Xenopus tropicalis: one gene and its partner. Each later gene encodes a partner of the first gene's protein in a complex. Links are inferred from orthologs where the notes say so. Each region holds a gene or a part of one and is shown on either strand. Other genes may lie near its edges.

Region 1 (3,963 bases):
GCTTTGTGGCCTCGTCACAAATCCGGGCCTGTCTGCACCTGCCCCACCACAGGCAGAGAGGCAGAGAGCAGCATGGACAAGGGGTGGAAGGCCTCTCATGAATACAGCGTTGCCAAATACAGGCAGACCAGTGTTCACAGGGGTAGTAATTCTACATTCAAGGAAGGGACACTCTCACACAGTAAAATCATTTACAGTTGTTATACAGGCTCCCCTACACCAGCAGTTCTCAACCTGTGGGTCAGGACCAGGGCCGGATTTCTCTGTGAGGCGCCCCGAGGCCGCCCCTGTGGCTGTCCCCCTCTGCGCATGCGCGAACGCGGCCCCCAGTGCGCATGCGCAAACGCTTCTTTAAACTCCCATACGGAGCAGTGGGGAGAGGTCCCAACTGCTCTGTATGGGAGCCAAATTTAAAAACTTTCTTGCGGCGGGGCGGCATGCCGCCCCTAAACTTCTGCCGCCCTAGGCCCGGGCCTTTGTGGCCTTTCCACAAATCCGGGCCTGGTCAGGACCCCTTTGGGGGTTGAACGACCCTTTCACAGGGGTCGCTTAAGACCATCGGAAAACACATATTTCCGATGGTCTTGGGAACCGAGACACCGCTCCTCCATCTGTCTCCAGGCGGGGCCGCCCACATACGATGAAATCATCGCGCCAACCCCATCACATACACCCCATACAAATACAGGTGTATGTGACAGGGTTGGCGCCATAATGTGCTTATGCAGGCCAGTCACACCTGTAGAAAGCAGCTACTGCGTAGAAAGCAGCTACTCTGTTAAAAGCAGCTACTGTGTTGAAAGCAGCAGTATTGGAGGTAAGCTATGAAGTAGCAACGAAACAATTTTATGGTTGGGGGTCACCACAACATGAGGAACTGTATTAAAGGATTGGCATTAGGAAGGTTGAGAACCATTGTTATACAGGTTCCCCTACACCCTGAGGTATTGGGGGGGGGCAAATGCTCTCTCTGTTTATCCCAGCTGCCGGGACAAGCCAACACTGCACTCACTCCCTGTAGCAAATCCCCTATCCAGCTGCCTGAGCCCAACTCTCCTCCCCTCAGCGCTACCCCCTCCCCCGTGTATCTGTGGGAGGCCCCGGGCGGGCTCTGGGACGGATAATGGGAGGCAAATGTGGGCGGGTCCCACTTTCCTTTCCCTCACAGAGCGGAGCTGAGTGGCGTTACATCTCTATCGCTCTCTCTGTGGCGCTGGGGCTGCACCTTGGGCTTCATTAGTCGGGACATTGGGGACATTTCCAGCGCAGCCTGTGCCGTGGAGGTGCCCGGGAAAAGCGGCGGGTGGGGCCGTGGGTCGCGGTCTAACGCACTATCTGGGGCTGTGTCGCGACATATCGCTGCCATGGGCTGCACCGTGAGCGCAGAAGACAAAGCAGCAGCGGAGAGATCGAAAAACATCGATAAAAACCTGAGGGAGGATGGAGAGAAGGCGGCCAGGGAGGTGAAACTGCTGCTGCTGGGTAACTATCTACTTACTGGCTAGAAACATCTGTCTATAAATCTATATATCTATCTCTATATATCTATCTCTATATAGCCACTCTCGCACAGTCCTCTGTATAGCATGCATCACATGGGTGTAAGGGCTATGGGTGTAAGGGCTATGGGTGTAAGGGCTATGGGTGTAAGGGCTATGGGTGTAAGGGCTATGGGTGTAAGGGCTATGGGTGTAAGGGCTATGGGTGTAAGGGCTATGGGTGTAAGGGCTAGGGGTGTAAGGGCTAGGGGTGTAAGGGCTAGGGGTGTAAGAGCTATGGGAGCCAAATCAGGTTTAGGGCAGGGCAGAGAGGACATGTACCCAGGACCCTCCACCTTCAGCATCACAGGGCACCCTTGGGCGCAGAATGTAGAAAGGAGTACAGAGGGCATATTGTGCTATGAAACAATTATCTTCATTATAAGCCTCAGGCATATCCAGCCTGCAGCCCCCGGCTATTGGTGAACTGCAACTCCCTCTGACAACCATGTTGCGGGGACATTTGTGTGATTTCCTACCCCACATAGATTTCTGGCCCTGCAGGGATCTACGTATATATAAATTCATACTTACTGTGCTAAATAGTGCTCTCATATTGCTGGTCCCTAGTACTGCACCTTATATGTGTAATTACTGGATCATTTGAGCCACTTCCATCTCTGTAGGTTTCTGGTAGAAGCAAGCGTGCCCTCTGCGTGTGTATTAGACATGGTAGTGCAAAGAGGGCCCTGGCTCCAGTAACTCGGGGGCTACTTAGAGTTGTTATATATTTATCTATATACATCAGGGATGTTCTCCAGCCATTGTTAAAATGCAACCCTCAGCATTCACTGACAGCTGACGACATTTGGGTGGAGTGGGGTTGATGAGAGTTGCAGCTCTAAAGGCCACAGTTCCCTGGTCCCTTTCTCAATAATCTCTATCACATCACTTATGGTGCCTCTATCACCCTGTTTTATCCTAATGTATGAAAATCCATCCTATGGCCCTCCACAGGCAACCCCCTGACAACCAATGGCTGCCCCTGCCGTATTTCCTGTAAACATAGATGTGTGGGTTGGAAGGTGGGTATAATGTCATTTTCTCGGAGAACTGGCATTTCCACAGAGAGGGGTCTGGAGCAACAATTGGCCTTTGAATTGGAAAGCAGCATTTTTCTGGGTGCAATAATTGTGTTACTTAATCAGGAACCAATCTGGCCTCACTGGGGAACCAGTATTCAACACACAAATGTGCTTATGCGTATTAAGTTTATTTCCCCTATACACAGACTATTTGGTATTTTCTGTTTATGTATGTTTACCCAACCATCCTGACATCCACGTACTATAGATAATGGTTGCTTTGTCAGTTGGGCAGGTTAGAAAATGTTCTGTGCCAGGGCACCATGTCTGCCTGTGCCTGTGCATGATGCATCAGCAGATGAGGAAGTGCAGATGAGCCACAGATCCTTTTCACTTCCTGCTGTTCTAATCGTTCATGCTGTAGGCCTTAATCAATACAAGACTAGATTGGTAGCCATACCAAAGTGTATTGGCCAGGGTATGGCCACCAGAGCCGGGACAAATTGTTTTTGCACCATAGGCAAAAACTAATTGTCCCAGCACTTACGCACACACAATCTCCCGCCTCCCAGCACTCACTACTTGCAACACTCAGCCTGCTCTCACTTCCAGGCCGGTCGCTGTTTTCCAGCTACCCCCTGCACCCCGCCACTTGCATGGAACAAGCTCTGGTTGTATCCCCTGCATTATGCATGACAATACCAAAAAAAAAAAAAAGTTAGTTATTCACTTTGCTGGGTCAGAACGGGGGGTAGGACTAGGCCAGTGACCCCCAACCTTGGCTATTGCTCCTAGTGGGCTTAAATACGGTCCTTATTTTGTAATTCCTAGCTTTGAGGCAACTTTTGGTTGCATAACAACTGCCAAAAGATTGTTCTGTAGGCTGACAGTCCACATAGGGGCTACAGAATAACCAATCGTAGTCCTTGTGTTTTACCTGTGAGAAGCCTTTTTCATGCTTGTGTTTTAGCGGTGAGGAGCCTCTTTTTACATTTTGAATTTAGGTCACGGGTAAAAATGGTTGGGGATCCCTGGACTAGGTAGAAAATGTAGATGTGCCTAAGGTTCTTGTGCCCCACCAATGTTGCACCCTAGGCACATGCTTCTTCTGTCTACCCCTAGTTCCCGATGGCCACTTTTTAAACCCCACTGTTACCCTTTACAGGTTTGGGCCACATGTATTGTTTGTAGCTGACTACAAATATAATTATACATTGAGACTTATATATAATCGGCCTTAGAACCTCTTAGAAGATTTTTTTTTTTTACTAGGAAATACCCCACCCCCCCAATTTTTTTTTGGAAAAAGAGGCTTTGGGTGTTCCAATAGCATTCATAGAACAATGCAAGTTGTAAGTAGTGAACAGGTTACTAAGCGCTTCCATCCATTTCCTCTTTCA
Region 2 (4,172 bases), on another chromosome or scaffold:
TTTACAGAGGTGCAAGGAATGCATTTTGATGCAAATACCTTTAATAAAAGTGATTTTGGGTGCGACTGACTGTACAGCCCTATAGGCGCTAGCTATCAGTGAAAGAATTTCTCCCTAATGGGTTTGAGTACATGAAAAGTATTTTGGACAAAAGTGACTTCAACTTGCTGATAAAGAAAGGGCACGTTGTGTAATGGAAGAATGTGGAAAATTAAGCAGAAAAGGGAAGCATTTTAACAGCTGTGTGAATTGTGCCACCAGCATTCATATGTCCTGTTTGTGAGAGCTGTACATTGTCAAATACATTGGCAATAAATATGTAAAGGAAAAAGCTTCAATTATTCTTTGATGTTCTGTTTTGGGACAGGCTTTAATGTAGGAAATGGAATGTATGTTGGATGCAAGCAAAGCTTGTGGACACCTGGGGGCACATTTATTAAAATGTGAGTTTAGAACTTAGTACATAAAAACTCCCCCACATTCTATCTATTCCTATGGGATTTTTAGAAGAGTATTTAGAACATTCAAGTTGACCATTTGATAAATACGCTTACAATGCCATACAGACAAAATCCCATAGGAATAAATAGAACATGGGGGAGTTTTTATGTGTTAAGCTTTAAACTCACATTTTGATAAATCTGCCCCTTGGTGTTTGTGAGTGTGGCATGTAGTTTATTTATTGATAGGATGAGGTAAAGGGTGCACAGCATTTTGGGGTTTAGTTATACAGTATTGGAATGAAAAACTCCACATGTGTAATCATATACTCACACCATGTAACTAGCATTAATGATGGAACATTCTTTGTATAAAATATGTACTATGGATATGCATTGATGCAACAGACGAAACACAGTATGGCATCTTATTCACAATTGTATAAACACAAAGTACAGAAAAAACATTTCTGTGCACACACTAAGCTGTGTTTTCATATTTTCATTCGATTCCCATTTTAAGGCAATACATTTACTGTAATTACAATGGGACTTTGTAAGGAGGTTTGTTGAAAATAATGCATTATTATTTGGCATAAATGCAGGGCTAAGTTATTAGCTGTTTCACCTGGCCCATGTCCTTACTTGCCTTCAAGAGTCATTGCCCAGTGAGTGCACAGTTGGAAGGGTGCCCTTTGGTAGTTATGTGCTCATTGTTTGCTATTTATCTATTAGCACTTAATATATTAATCACTTTAGACACTTGTAAATACTCTTAAACCCATATAAATATTTTAGAGAGAACTGATTTCTCAATGTGAACTCTCCAGCAATTGGAAAGCATCACCTCACTAGAATGTGCTGTTTACAGAATGAAGCCAATACTAAAGAAATGTGACAGCACAAAACAAGAAGTGTAAGCTCTCACCATAAATGAGGATGGTACTGTATCTCACAGACATAAAGTAACAGTTTGACACAGGATATTGCAGAAGGAGGAGATGAGCAGTATTTAGAGTAAGTACCCATTATCTGTTTATCAGTGATTTTTCACACAAAAAGTATGTACTGTATACACTAGAGGTTCTTAGCAAAATGTCTGCTAGCTTTCCTGTATGCTACAGCTCTGAGCAACATCAAAGGGGGTGGCGAGCCACTGCTTGGGGATCACTGATCTACAGAGAACCATATTTGTATTAGCCACATGCAACATGGAAGGAGACTGTTTGTTACATCATGAATTTAAGACTAGTTTGAGGGAAGGATATAATAACCAAGTAAGAGGTTTTTTTGCCTGCACTGCCCACTGGCACAAACTACTAAATGTTTGGCCTTGTATTTGCTAATGGGTTCAGTGGATTCATGTGGATTCAGGAAATATTTACAGAAATACATGAAAAATATAAAGTGTCCCGGAGAAATGAATTGCTCACATTGGGCATATGTTTTCTCCCAGCAGGAATGGCATACTCTGCATCAGGTTTAGTAATCCAGTCAACAAGTAGAATTTACTGTTCACATGCACCTGGTTGATATGGTTTACTAAGCCTGGTTAAGTTGTGATTGGTTGCTAGGATTTCAAAAACAGCTAGAGGGTCATATATCAGATTTGAGATTTTTTTTCTCCCCTCAAAGGGCACCCTCTGTAATTCACACATTGGTACAAGCACCTAATATTCAGACACATTTTCACCCACCCTACTAACTCATTGTGATTGTTTAGAAACACTGGGCAAATTTACACCTGGGCAGTAGCCCATGGCAACTAATGAAAAGCTTGCTTTCAATTTTCTACCTGCAGCTGGCTGAAAAATATAATCACAGATTAGTTGCTATGGGTTACTGCCCAGGTGCAAATTTGCCCGTTAAATGAGCCCTACTATGTCTCCCATTATAAATTGTGCAATTTATCACACTATTTACCATGGCTACATTTTTAACGTTACTTTATATCTACATACTGAAATCCACTTGCACAGAAATATGGCGGATATGGTCCATTGCATGTTCCATCACTAATTGTGCTGACCAAGTATAATGAAAAATAAAAGGCTTCAAAGTAAAATTAAGTACCCTTCTTGGTATGAAACGCGTAAGGCTTTTTGTATTGTGTATGAATTTAATAAACTAAATATGCTTTAACTATAAATTGAGCTGCTTTGAAATGCTATACTTTATGCCCAGTGTCACATTTATAAACAGTTGCACAGCAGGTAGGACATGGCCCAGTTGCAGCAACCGCCACAGATGATATGGGCATAGATTTCATTGTGCAGGTGCCTGGCCCAAGTGCTTTGGCTATGGGGTTCTAAGGGCTGTGGTTTTGAGGCCATAGCAACAATAGCCAAAGAGTTGTGACTATTTCTATATGTAGTGTTCCTTTACTCATTACTGCATACAGAAAGAGAAGGGACATGAGTGCCACATTGGTGTCCCTTGGTGCCCCCTTGTCCATGGCAGAGATCCTCCCAAGTGCTGCAACCAGATAACCTCATAATTATCCAGTGGCCTGTGGGGGGGGAAATAAAAATTAATATTATTACCTATAAAAAACACGGCCCTGCAGTAGTGCTGTGTATTCTAAAACAAACAGTCAGCAGATAACCACATATATATACATACACACACACAATGTGGCTTGCAAAAGCATTTCCTTCAATAATCCACACGACCTGATAAGAAACAGGCAAATTACACTGGAAAACAAGATACAAACCTTACCCCACAAGCTGGAATAAAAAATGAAGAAATACACCTGGGAATAGTTTTCTACATGGATTCTCACAGCATTTTAGGGTGAGAGGGCAATGATTAGGCCCCCTGCATTATATAATTTGGGCCAGGAAAGCCACCGGAATTCTTTGTTGATGGGATGGCAGCTGTATTCAGATATATGTATTCAGATATACTAACAAACAATCCAGCTTTTGGATAACAAAGTGTCAAAGTAATGCTTAAATAATATCAAAATAACATAATGGTTATGGGGATAATGTAGATATTTCAGCAAGTTTTGTCGTTTATAAACCACAATTTGTAAAAGAAAAATTAACCTGTCTGTTGTCAAGAGAAGTTTGTGTCTAATGGATTGAATTTTTAATAAAGAAAATAGGGAGAGGGAAGAAATTGCAGGCTGGGGAGATGCATGGTATTGGGCAAGAAGAGAATGGTCAAAAAAGAAGTTACTATCACAGTCATCTTTTTGGGTAAAGCATATACTATACATATATATATTACATATTGGTAATCCTGCTAAGTCAATACAAATCTATTATCCCTAGACGTTTATATCGGAAACATGGTTTGGCAGAGTCTTCCCATTTCTAAATTACTATCTTTATATAAAAACAATAACATACAAATAACAACAGTAAAAAAGTCTGTTTTCTACGCAAATGGTACATACCTAATATTTCTATTCAATTTTTTTAAACCCAAAATCAAATAAGTATTGGATGGGGAACGCAAACTGAGTAATGGGAAGGAGTACTCACAGGAAGCTTTATACCACTTAATTCATTTATTCATGAACTACTACATTTTCAGTTCAAACTGGGGCGCTTATGCAAGGTCAAGGGGAGGCAGCAAAAAGGACTAGTAACTATTTCCATTTGCTTAAAAATTCTGCTCTTTTACTATAGCATAATATAGTGCACCCATCCCACTCCTACTGTGTTCTTCACCTCTAGGGTCAACTACCATTACGCTTGATAAAGAGCGTTCAGCCCAACG

What was found. The genes of interacting proteins can lie anywhere in the genome.
Region 2: the proteins of gnai2 (region 1) and p2ry12 are in contact, whole or in part, in a cryo-EM structure (PDB 7XXI), measured with the Homo sapiens proteins. The link is inferred for Xenopus tropicalis from reciprocal best matches to the Homo sapiens genes GNAI2 and P2RY12. Residues at the interface, in NP_002061.1 of Homo sapiens: Arg24, Glu28, Ala31, Arg32, Leu195, Glu319, Ile320, Tyr321, Phe335, Phe337, Asp338, Ala339, Thr341, Asp342, Ile344, Ile345, Lys346, Asn348, Leu349, Lys350, Asp351, Cys352, Gly353, Leu354, Phe355; in NP_073625.1 of Homo sapiens: Phe59, Asp121, Arg122, Lys125, Thr126, Pro129, Phe130, Thr132, Asn134, Pro135, Ile212, Leu216, Ser219, Tyr220, Arg222, Thr223, Arg224, Val234, Lys237, Ile241, Leu301, Cys302, Lys303.

What each region holds. Positions count from the first base shown.
Region 1 is NC_030680.2:126,955,866-126,959,828, forward strand, and holds the start of gnai2 (guanine nucleotide-binding protein G(i) subunit alpha-2), read left to right. Parts: upstream 1-1,163; 5' UTR 1,164-1,364; coding exon 1,365-1,482; intron 1,483-3,963. UniProt on the Homo sapiens protein: Guanine nucleotide-binding proteins (G proteins) are involved as modulators or transducers in various transmembrane signaling systems.
Region 2 is NC_030681.2:117,990,535-117,994,706, forward strand, and holds the start of p2ry12 (P2Y purinoceptor 12), read left to right. Parts: upstream 1-1,372; 5' UTR 1,373-1,457; intron 1,458-4,172. UniProt on the Homo sapiens protein: Receptor for ADP and ATP coupled to G-proteins that inhibit the adenylyl cyclase second messenger system. Not activated by UDP and UTP. Required for normal platelet aggregation and blood coagulation.